Bombyx mori: one gene and its partner. The protein of the gene in region 2 interacts with the protein of the main gene of each other region in a pairwise test. Links are inferred from orthologs where the notes say so. Each region holds a gene or a part of one and is shown on either strand. Other genes may lie near its edges.

Region 1 (6,913 bases), on a different chromosome or scaffold from region 2:
TAACGTAAAGATGGAAACGAGACGTACCGAGAAAACTTCACCAATATATCTAAGGCAATACAAGGCCTGGCATTATGCAGTCGGCTGGTAATAGTTTCTATGCACATATAACGGCCTGCACTCTGCACCCGGCCTGCCTCTATGCACATATAACATGCCTATTTGTGCCGTGAAGCAGTAACGCGTTTCGGTTTGAAGGGTGGGGCAACCGTTGTAACTATACTTGAGACCTTAAAACATATGTCAAGGTAGGTAGGTACCACCACTCAGCCTATTTCTGCCGTGAAGCAGTAATGCGTTTCGGTTTAAAGGGTAGGGCAGCCGTTGTATTTAAAAAACTGAGACCTTAGAACTCATATCAAAGTGAGTGGCTCATTTACGTTGTAGATGCCTATGGGCTCCAGTAACCACTTAACACCAGGTGGGCTGTGAGCTCGTCCACCCATCGAAGCAGTAGAAAAAAAAAGTCTTAGGTAAAATATATGAACATTGATACGTACTTTGTGTCGCCACATACGATCACAGGCAAACGCGTGTTGAAATCGATTCTTGTCAACTTCTTAGTCTTTTTGGAGACAACAGCTTGGACGCATATAGGCCTGTACTTGTTCACGTTCAAATCGTACACGTAAACCTGTTTTGTATCATTCAATATTAACGTTGTTGCATTTGGCTTGCGGAATGCGGAATTATCTTTGACGGCAATTTGAAATCGTCTTATTGATAAATTGCCCTTAACAGCTACGACATGCCCACTGCTAAATAAAACTGGGCAGTCTTTTAAATTTTTACGTTATAAAGTGATTTACAATTCAAAGGAAAGCAATTGAATTAATATTATATAAAATATAAACTTGGTCAGTGAAAACGGTATTGCTGAAATGTAATAAAAAACAAAAATCTTCACGATATAGTTAATAATATACTTGTTAAAAACACAAAGTCGAGTAGTTTTTTTTTATGAGTGAACGATTACTGGTGGCCCTGAGGTCTTTCCAGTTTCACCAGGACCGGTGGGCGAGCAAAGGGTCAGCCAGGAGGGGTGGGATTTGCTAACAGCTGCCCGAGCGCCTGCGAAGGGGACCTAGAACTCAAGAGCAGTTGCTTCGCGAATGAATCTACTCGCGAATGAAGCGATTTCGATCCGATGACAGATACTGCGAAGCACTACGCTTGCTAGGACAGATGTAAGCAATTTTTTTTCAGACAGAGCCCCCTGAAATGGCTCACCAGTCAACGTGGAGCCAGAATAGCCCCTCGATACTACTGATAGATGACTCTTAAATAAAGAGCTACACGTGCCATATTCGTCTGTTTACTATTTTGAGAGGCTCATTTAACTTCTGTAATTGTGCAAATCTTTTTTTCACGTTTAGCAACTTAGTTTTAATATTCAATTAGCATTTATTGTGTTATCACTGTTTAGCATTAACAATTCCGAAATTACCAATGTTAGCATAAACATGTAAACCAATGTGGCTACTTATGTCGGATCTACTAATAAAAAAATAACGACCCCAAAATAACTTTTTTGTACAAAAACTAAATTTAAGTTAGTAAAAAGGTTTTACAGTTATTTCAAACTAGTCAAAATTGACTATATTTAAATAAATTGTATGCACCAATTTCTTGAAACTATACGCTTGTGCCACCTACCATAATTACTGGCAGAAACCTTTTCTCAAGCGAGTGTTTTCTCAATTAGCTGTATCAAGTTATTAGCTTTTTCCTGCGACTTCGTCCGCGTGGAATAGTTATTTTGGCATAACGCTAAATTTTACCCGCCTCCTCATTTACGTAGAGAGTGAAAATATTTTTGAATAATAGAATGTTAAGGAGCTATTTAAGGTACAAAAATCACGCTTTTTAACCAACTTCAAAAGAGGAAGTTTTCAATTCGACCACAATTTTTTATCTATGTATGTCCACCGATTTCTCAAGCATGCTTGAACCGATTCTGATACTCCTTTTTTTTTTAAAACTAAATTGTATCTCATAGAACTATCGTAGTTCGCTCATCGCACTCTATTAATTCCAATTCACTCTAAGCTCGTCGTAATTGACGAGGACGGTAACCGGTGCTTGAAGGTACTTGAATAAACATTCAGTCAGCATTTGTACAGGTCACTAGTCAAACCCGGCCCGATTAGCTTGACGATCTTTGGTTTAAATTTGAGCAGATCAGCTGATTAAGCTTCATAGTATCATCCGCTTGCCCAATCTAAAGATTTCTTGAAAAGTTCATCTAAATCTATCCAGCCGTTACGCAGTCATTAGAGCAAATACATACACACATTTACTTTTATATATCATTTGGTAATTCAAATCTTAAAAAGAAATCTCTGTCAACCGATGCCTATCTGTAGATTGGATTTAGTTTTATCTACACAAAAGTAATAATTGAAAACAATTTTTTTACTTCAAAAATTTATAACAAAACACCAGATAAGACGTACTGCACAAAATGAATTTAAGTTTTGAAGCATTAGTGATTAAGGTCGAATTTCGATAATTGCGTTTAGAGAACACTCATCATTATTCTATACATTGTTAGTTAGTTAACAAGTCCTCTCAGGTTGAGCCCCGTGAGCTCACCTATCCGTTCGTGCATAGTTCGAATAGCCCCTTAGGCTACCAAAGATTAGTTAGGGAATATTACAAATAAGCTTCATGAAGGGCTTTTTACTGGTGGTAGTACCTCTTGTGAGTCCGCACGGGTCGGTACCACCACCCTGCCTATTTCTGCCGTGAAGCAGTAATGTGTTTCGGTTTGAAGGGTGGGGCAGCCGTTGTAACTATACTGAGACCTTAGAATTCATATCTCAAGGTGGGTGGAGCATTCACGTTATAGATGTTTATGGGCTCCAGTAATCACTTAACACCAGGTGGGCTGTGAGCTCGTCCACCCATCTAAGCAATAAAAAACAAAAAAAGCTAAGGATCGCAGCAGATGGAGGGAAATGGTACGGGAGAAACTGATGCAGCGGGGGAGTCACGACCCTCAGTAATGAGGAAAACGACACGAGGAGGAGGATAATAAATTAAATATACCTTTCCATCAGCCGTGCAAGCGGCAAACACAGTGCTTGAATACGGTGCCCATTTTACGTCGCCCACCGCCGCGCCCAGTTCAAACATAAACAACGGCTCCCTATTAACAAAAACACAACAATACTGCACAACTATTTCAGCGTAATGTAATAGTTTAAAAAAACGAACAAAATACGCTTTTATAGAAAATCCAATTTGGTGACGCAGGTGAGCGTCACCTTAAACGTGAGCTGATGAGCTGAAAGGGGGCATATGAACTCTGCGGAGAATGAGCGGACACGAAAGGGTAGGTAGGAAAACGGGACTTACTTGGAGGCTGATGCTGGCATTATCACGGTCGTAGTGGTGTTCCTCTGCGATGGGTGGCACATACACCCTTTCACCGGTTCACACTCAACCTTTTACTTAGCAACGAAAGGCGCGCGCGCACAATTTTCTCAATATCGAACGAGCGTATCTCCGCGTGCCGTCATGTACCGCACTGTTATGAGAGGTGCGGGGTGCGTACGGGCGACGGCACCCGAGTTGAGCCGAACATTTATGAACGTCGCGCTGTCGCGCGAACACAATTAAAAAATAGAAAATAAATTTGAATTAAAAATAGTATAATATTATTCATAGAATATTTATAAGTACTTACACCATGAACCCCACGCTTTTTTTTACTTTTATAGAAAATCCAATTTGGTGACGCAGGTGAGCGTCACCTTAAACGTGAGCTGATGAGCTGAAAGGGGGCATATGAACTCTGCGGAGAATGAGCGGACACGAAAGGGTAGGTAGGAAAACGGGACTTACTTGGAGGCTGATGCTGGCATTATCACGGTCGTAGTGGTGTTCCTCTGCGATGGGTGGCACATACACCCTTTCACCGGTTCACACTCAACCTTTTACTTAGCAACGAAAGGCGCGCGCGCACAATTTTCTCAATATCGAACGAGCGTATCTCCGCGTGCCGTCATGTACCGCACTGTTATGAGAGGTGCGGGGTGCGTACGGGCGACGGCACCCGAGTTGAGCCGAACATTTATGAACGTCGCGCTGTCGCGCGAACACAATTAAAAAATAGAAAATAAATTTGAATTAAAAATAGTATAATATTATTCATAGAATATTTATAAGTACTTACACCATGAACCCCACGCTTTTTTTTACAATAAAATCATTTTTTCTTAGACTATTTTTAATTCAAATTTATTTTCAATTTTTTAGTTGGATTTTCTATAAAAGCGTATTTTGTTAGTTTTTTTAAACTATTATTTCATTTTTAGTTGAATTTTTCAGTTTTTTCAAATTTTATTTTTAAATTTTTTTGTAATATTGTATTGTCATCGGTCCTTAATAAGTATACCAAATTTTGAGTTAATCCGACGTTTTGAAGGGGGTCAAAATCATGTTCAAAGTTCCGTTACAAATATACATACCTACATACATACATACATACGTCTGAAGCTAATAAGAGCGTATTAAAAACTAATCTAATTCATTCTATTACATAGCAATGGTTAGAAACCATATTTCCAAATACACTCACTCTCTTCCGTCTTCCCAAATTTTGACCCTCCAGTCACCCGAGCATGACGCATAGATACTGTTATTAAAGTAGTTATAGTTGATCCTGTAGACCGGCATGTGGTGTCCTTGAACCGATCGCACATAGTTCCGGTTGTATTTGAGGGAGCAAGTGTGGATCATGCCGTCTTCGGTACCCACCATGAAGATATCCGGCTTCTCTGGGTGAAAACATATGCAGCTACCGCAGCCTGGGTGGGAATTAGTAAATGTCTCCTTTAAATGGTATGATAATCGATAGAATGAAAAATACCAACGGTTTTGAGACAAAGAGACGTACAAACTTAACTGGCTTAAATATTAGAGTCCTTCTAGGCGCAATGAATTTGTTGTCCGAACGGGTCCTATTGGTAAATAGTAACTTGGTTATAACCCTGTCATTACTGATGAGCCCACGAGTAGCAGTGATTATTCGCCATTAGATGAAGCATTTGTCTCTGAAGGTAAGGTATAAAAGTTGTGAGAAGTCGTCGTGGCCTAAAGAAGTTGTCGTGGTCTAAAGGATAAGATGTCCGATGCATTCGTGTTGAGCGATATATTGGTGTTAGAATCCCAGGCGGGTACCAATTTTTCTAATGAAATACGTACTCAACAAATGTTCACGATTGACTTCCACGGTGAAGGAATAACATGATGTAATAAAAATCAAACCCGCAAAATTATAATTTGCATAATTATTGGTGGTAGGACCTCTTGTGAGTCCGTGCGGGTAGGTACCACCACCCTGCCTATTTCTGCATAGGCATTAGATGATGAAGCCATGAAGCAGTAATGCGTTTCGGTTCGAAGGGTGGGGCCGTTGTAACTATAATTGAAACCTTAGAACATATCTCAAGGTGGGTGGTAGTGGTGGTGGGTGGGCTCCAGTATGCACTTCACAACAGGTGGGCTGTGAGCTCATCCACCCAGCTAAGCAATAAATAAATAAACGTTGAATACCAATTGTATCCAAATGTAAGTTTGTAAGGCTATTAAATCGATTTAAAGTGACACGGCTTACTGTTAACGTTGATCATGGTGCCGTCAGGTCCCGGTATGGGAGGCACGTTGGACGTGAGCGTGATGATAGTGGTCGCTTGGAGCTCGCCCGGCATCACCGCCCATTGGACGACGCGTCCGTCGCCGGAGATCGAGAAAAATGTCGATTCACCATCAATCAAACGTGCTCCCCAACGCACCTGAACAATCGATTTGAATTCCGATTTAGTATCGTAATCAGAAATAGTTTTGCAATCTAATCTCCACACTATAAAAGTCTAATTGTGTATTTTTTTGGCTTTTTCTTGAATTTTTTAAATTTTATACGTTGACAGATTTTCATAATGGTTCTATGTAGCAAAAATATACCACCCAAATCGTTCGCCTATGTTATTATTTCTACGAATGATTTTAGATGTTGTTTTAAGTTGGAGGTACATTGTAAAAAATTTAAGATTTTAATTTTTGCAATTGCTTAACTGTTTATTATGATAAAATTTATATAAAGTATTAGCAATAAAAAAGAAACTACATTAATAGATACAGTTCGCAATAGTACTATATTTTTCTATGTTTGCTTTAGAACTTTTTACTAGGTGAACCGATTTTGACGATTTTTTTACATGAAAGCTGATGCTTCTAATTAAACGTTATCATGATCTGACCGGTACCTTTTGAATTATTCTTTATAATGCATATTTCTTCGAATTCGACGATATTAATAATGTTCTCTTTTTATAATGTTGAAGTAGATTTTCTTTTTGTTGTTTTGAGCTTTTAACCTTTTAATAAAAACGTTAAGTGCTATCTATTAACGCGATTTTAACGCGTAGGTACCTCCCAGACGATGTTGCTGTGCTTATCTCGTACAGAATCCGATTTGTATTGGTAAGATGACTCGAGGGTTAACTGAGCATTGTAGACGCAAACGTTTCCATCGTAAAGTCCTGTTAAGAAAATATTCGATGAGATTCAAGGAAGATCTATTCGATATATTATTCCAATTGTATAGTATATTGTATATCGTATTGCAGTATACTATACTATGTTATATTGTGATACCCCATCCTTTTTATATCTGCCTCGAAGCATTCATACTTTCTATCCTGAACGGTGTGATGGTCGGCATACTATTGAGGTGTTCAAGTAATGTGTTGAGTGATTCGATGATTAGAAAAAAGGTGACACCACCTTAGCCTTAATACGACCAGTATTAGTTTTATAACTAGCTATAGCAAAACATGTTTGTTCACATTTAAATTCGAATATATTACTGGTGATTACTTTTACTGGTGCTAGGACCTCTTGTGAG
Region 2 (6,040 bases):
TAGTGTGTTTTTGTGTGTTTGTATACACTATGAAGCAATGGAACAGTGTTCATGGCTAAATCATACAGAGATAAATTTTTCAAGACTTCCAAGATGAATGAATAATATCTTATAATAAAAATCAAACCTGGAACACTTGCATAATTACTATTGGTAGGAAGTTAGATATCATAATTTTGCTTACTTTTGCTGTGAAACAGTCATGCATTCCAGTTTAAAAGGAGGAACAGCCATAAGATTGTTTATCAACCTTAGCAATAAAAATTGTTGCAATGCTGTTCATATTATTGATTAATATGAGGTTGAGGTTGGTTTGACAAGTTTCTGACCTTAACCATTTTCAATCATGAAAATAGCAGAACTCATCAAAAAATGCTTGTGAATGTAGTTAACTGTCTATCTTTTGGCCATTACTCACCAAAATTTCATCCATTTTGAACATGTTTTGTACTTGTTACTTAAGAGTTGTTGGAGTGAGTTGATGTAACACACTCACTTATTTATGAAAATGGAAAAAATAAGTATTGAGCTATCAGTTGGCAATTATAATCTATAGTTAAAACATACTCTGTACTGTTATGATTCAGCAATTTTTTACTTTGTATGGTTAACCATATGAAGACAAATAATCATAATAATGAAAATATTTGTTTAATGATAGTAAAGATCTAACACCAATATTTGATTTAGAAGTGCTAAAAGATATTGCAAAAGACAACTTTGATTATAATTCGGTCACTTCAAGTCATGGTTCTGAAATTATAATACCAAAGAGATCATTGATGAGATTTAGTGAAATCGAAAGCGAAGATTAGTTGGAAGACTTGATGAAGGGTGCAATGTCACAGAAGCATTTGATTTCTGGATAGAATACATGTTAGGGCATTGCCAAAGGTCACTGTGAAAATGTACCTGAGTTGCTGGTAAGAAGTGGTACAAAAAGTACAGAGCACTGTTGGTTAAAAGGCAATACACCTATGCCAAGATGAATTGGACTACGTGTATGGGAACTCTACACCATAATTAACTAATGAAATTTTGGGCCACTGAGTTTAAATGAATGATAATTGATTTCCATGAAAGCTTGGGACATGATGCACATTGGGGACATCCAAAAAGAGCAACTATTGACAATAACATCCCTAAAATCATCAAATGGTGCTAGACAACCCCTGAATTAAAGTGAGAGAACATAGATAGTAGAGGCTATGAAAATGTCCATATGTTTTGTTCATATGAATTAGTGATGAGAAAAATAGCTGTCTGCACGTTGAGTGTCATGTATGGTCACAAAAACAAAAAAACGTGTTTGAATGTTTCCAATTCTGTTGGTGCAGTTTAGGTTTAGCAATAAATCAGAGTTTTGGTGCCAATTAATTTACTATAGATGAAACATGGATATACCATTATACATCCGAAAAACAGTGGACTGCAAAGGGGGAACCAGCTAAAAAAAAGTAAAAATTATTTTTTCCGTTGGGAAAGTGATGGTGACCGTTTTTTGGGATAGTCATAGAGTTATCTTAATCAATTTCATTAAAAAATTAAAACCATTACAGGAGCGTACTACGCATCAATACTTGACAAATAAAAAATAAAAAAAATGGTCATTTGTGCAGAAAAAGAAAATCCTATGGTGAAGACAACATGCCGTCTCAGACCTCCGTGGTTACCATAGCAAAAATCCACGAATTGCACTTTGAACTGCTGACCATCCTTATCTTGACTTTACTCAGCAAATCTAGCTCCAAGTTACTTCTTTTTGTTTCCTCATCAAAAAATTGCGCTCGGAGGACAGTTTTTTGTTATAATTATGTGGAGACAATTAATTACCTTCATGAATAATTATTTTATAGAGAAAAACGGCGTCTATTGTTTGGAAAGGATAGAGATATGCGAGCATCATTGGATGAAGAATTACAAGGCGACTTGTTGAGGCGAATATGAAAAAAAATAAAAACAAACATAAAAAAAGTCTTGTATCTGTGTTAGGTCGGAAAGTTTTCAGACCCCACTCATAAAAAACCTAAACCTTTGAATTTGTTAAAAGTGTTTATATATTTATTAGTCTAGAAAAATATTATGTGTTTATGAATTGCTAAAGATCATAGAATTAATTTTAACTAACGGACGCAAATTGTAATTGATTTTAGAAAATAGCAGAAGTATTTTGGAAGGAAAAAAAGTACACAGCTGCTCATAGACACTTTTTACACTCATCGGATGGTTCAGCATATGCTAACATGCTTATAGAGTTACACACAACTAAAGGTCTCAAATCAGAAATAGATTTGTTCATAGCACAAGCTGTGTTGCAAATACTTTGTTTGAGAAATGTAAGAATGGCAACTGAAACATTTTTGAGGTATACAGAAACACATCCCAAAATTAAGAATAGCAAAGGACCTCCATATATATTCCCACTATTGAATTTTTTGTGGTTCTTGCTGAGAGCTGTCGAACAGTAAGTTAATTTTCTTTTTATGTCATCCATAAACAGAATCTTATACATTGTGCTTAGTACGAGTTTTTTAACGTTCCCCATAGCGTAAAAGCTAACTCAAATTTGTATGGAATTGGAGCGTTTGCCTATATTTGCCGCTAGGGGCGCTGTTCCAACTGCATACAAATTTGAGTTAACTTTTACGCTATCGAGACGGTAAAAAACTTGCACTAAGCACACTGATATATGTAAGATAACTATTTCTGAAAACTTTTTGACTAAATAGAAATTTAATTATGATTTTGCACAGGAACGTAAAGTAAAAGTAAAAATCATATTATAATGCATGATGTCTATGTTTATGAATTCTGCGGGGGTTTCCACCATCTGCCTTTCCTTCTGATTGCAGGTTTATCACCTAGTATTATGTAAAAAAACGATTAGGGGGCGTCCATTAATTACGTGAGGTGTTCTAGGGGAGATGGGATCAAACTAAATCTCAATTAGGATGGAGGAGGGGGTCTTAGCGAATATCTCACTTTTTAGCAGAAAACGGTGTAAAATTGCCTGAACAATTATTTTTAGAATAAAATATGGCCAAATCAGACACCGATTTTTTTCTACCTGACACAATAGCGTTTCTCGTATTCGTCAGAACCTCACAGAGCAGGAAAGTACCGCTCGATTGTGCACTGTCGACCAGCTGTATTGACACGTGCGACTCGACGAACGCTATTTAATTTTATGATTGTTATGTTAAATTACGGTAATATTCACAAATGCTAGTCTTTGTTAGTCTTCAATGAAAGTAATAGAACAAGTAGCTATTTTTTTTCTCAATCCTATACATTTACAGCCAAAACATAAGTTTTGAAGAATCTCGTGTAAGATTAGGGGTGAGGGGAGGGAGTGGAGGAAAATCTTATGAAGTCTCACCAAGGTGGGAGGGAGGGTCGAAAGATTCACAAAACTACCTCACGTGATTAATGGACGTCCCTTTAGTAATATAGGTAGGCTATATAAAATAGTAATAATTTTATATCTATTACATTACAAAATAGCACAATTCAATTCATTTATTTGCAGATAACCTTAAAAATTAAATAATAAATCCAAGAATTCTTTGTTCACGATAGATCTTATAAAATTATATCTTGAAACAAAAAAATGATTTTATCGTGGTAAACAATTTTTTTGAAGAATTTGGTGAATTTCATAATATATTTAGCCAGTCAAAATAGCAAAATACGACTAGAAATATTAAGTATTTTAAGTTAAATAATCAATACAGTTTTTTTTAATATGTATTTAATTTCAGGAGACATGTACGACAGTTTATGGTACTAAAGAATTGGTATGCAATTAGCATTAAAAGGGATCCAAACTACTCCATTTTTTTAGACAATATAGGCCGCATTTGGTTTGGAATAGAAATACCTTCGGAAAATAGAAATCCAAACTCTATGTTCGGAGGTCTAATAAAATCTATTATTGGTGATATAGATAGTTCTGATGATGATGGTGAAAGCAAGACGTCGGCCACAGCTCCTGATTTGGACTAAGCTCTTAATTAACAGATTAATTATATTATTTTTTTACTGACATATCAGCTCAGTCAACCTTTGATAATATATTTTTATTAATTTCTAATATAATTTTGTAATTTCATAAGAAAGCTCTTTTATATTATTTTAAACTTAACTTGGAATTATTACCATTGATTTAAGAAATGGACTGTGTTTGTCATTTTATTTTTAATTAAGATGCCAATTAATTTTAATATTAATGGGGAAATTTCATAATCATTTAAGAATTTTGGTTGAGCTGCAGTAATCATGTTAGGAATAAAAAGTTGTAAAGGGTATGAAAAAAATTAAAAGTTTTGTGGTGTACCTATGTCAAGAGTGCAGTAATGTTTTAGCAACATAATTAAATTTATGGTGAATATAATTACATGTTTAGGATTTCAAATTGTTTTTCATAACGTTGCTTTTTAATTAAGTAATATATTTTGAACAGTGTTGTAAAATTAAATTTTAGATGTTGTTATGAAGTTTTATTCACATTAATTGGAATTATATTTCACAAAGTACCCACATCTCCACAATCGATATAGGTAATGTTTACTCCTGATTATGTGGGTCCGTGAGAGAAGAGGTCTCTCTTCCTAGTGGTTTCCTTCCCTATCTCTTGCTAGGTGAAGGTAGATTCATAAGGGCCGAGTCACACCGGAATAGCAGCGTCCGACATCAGCTGGCGGCGATGCCAGCGGCCTCCGGCGTCGCCGCTGGCGGCCTCGCGCGGCCTCCAGACTGCATGCGCCTAGTCTCCTCTTGACTAGATTAGTTTCTTCATTCGGCAATGATCGTGTAATAAAAATGAAACCCGCAAAATTATAATTTGTGTAAATTACTGGTGGTAGGACCTCTTGTGAGCCCGCGCAGGTAAGTACCACCGCCCTGCCTATTTCTGCCGTGAAGCAGTAATGCGTTTCGGTTTGAAGGGTGGGGCAGCCATTGTAACTATATTTGAGACCTTAGAACTTATATCTCAAGGTGGGTGGCGCATTTAGGTTGTGGATGTCTATGGGGTCCAGTAACCACTTAACACCAGGTGGACTGCGAGCTCGTCCACCCATATAAACAATAAAAAAAAAAAAAACGTATGTTTAGAGTGAACATGATGGAATTGGTTATTATATATGACCGCGGTGCCGCGAGCGGCCTCGTGTCGCCGCTAGCAGCCGCGGGCAGAACCACAGACAAGACGGACGTGGCGCGCGGCTGTGTCGCGACCTTTTGGAGCTTTGCAAGCGATACTGGTCTTATAAGTATATATAGATAAAGTTGGATGGGTTGACCAACTCAAGGAGGTGACTGGAGGCCAGATATGGGGAGCAGTACATATGGCGCAGAACCGGACCGAGTGGAGAAGATTGACATACAGTCACGATCCTCAGCATTGAGGGAACGACCAGAAAGAAGATAAAGTTTAAAATTATTTCACACGGAAAGTGCTCGCCGCGACGTTGCCATTCCGGTGTGACTCGGCCCTAACACCGGTCACTCACATGCGAACGAATACGCAAACCCGCAAGTGTAGGACGACATTTGCAAATGATTATGCAAAGTTTTCGCTGCATTCGTGGTTTTCCAAGGTGTGTCGGTTTTTTAACAGACATTAAAGCGCGCGAACCGCGATCCTTCGCGTAGTCTCCTACACATTCGTTTGCCCAGTTGCGCCAACGATTGCGAAGGTAACGGACGTATCGCCATTTTCATAGTTCGTGACGTCTACTGTGTAGCGTAACTTCATCAAAAGAAATCCCATAAAAACAGCATGAGTGGAGCATGTGAGTGGCCGGCATAAAAGTCGCATGTGAGTGGCCGGCATAAAAGTCGATTAAAGACTTTCATGACTATCTCTGACTATAATGATAGTTGTGCATCATGTTTATGGTCGTCGAGGGTGGCCACATATATTATTCATTTAGAGTATTTTCATGCGTTAATGAGTATAGACTAATGCCGGCCTAGCGGCTGTGCAAATGGGTTCGCATACTCAATTTGCGAACCCGTTTGCGCTTCCTCCTACACT

The links.
Region 1: the proteins of Golgi to ER traffic protein 4 homolog (region 2) and ATPase ASNA1 homolog interact in binary tests that used the Homo sapiens proteins (3 or more experiments, as listed by UniProt). The link is inferred for Bombyx mori from reciprocal best matches to the Homo sapiens genes GET4 and GET3.

The regions. Positions count from the first base shown.
Region 1 is NC_085125.1:5,276,672-5,283,584, forward strand, and holds the start of ATPase ASNA1 homolog, read right to left. Parts: upstream 3,574-6,913; 5' UTR 3,361-3,573; intron 3,152-3,360; coding exon of another isoform or gene 3,052-3,151; intron 635-3,051; coding exon of another isoform or gene 501-634; intron 1-500. Other genes in the region: dynein intermediate chain 2, ciliary, read right to left, coding at 501-634, 3,052-3,151, 4,586-4,814, 5,624-5,801, 6,439-6,548.
Region 2 is NC_085123.1:7,281,887-7,287,926, forward strand, and holds the end of Golgi to ER traffic protein 4 homolog, read left to right. Parts: intron 1-2,153; coding exon 2,154-2,464; intron 2,465-3,761; coding exon 3,762-4,005; 3' UTR 4,006-4,496; downstream 4,497-6,040. UniProt on the Homo sapiens protein: As part of a cytosolic protein quality control complex, the BAG6/BAT3 complex, maintains misfolded and hydrophobic patches-containing proteins in a soluble state and participates in their proper delivery to the endoplasmic reticulum or alternatively can promote their sorting to the proteasome where they undergo degradation.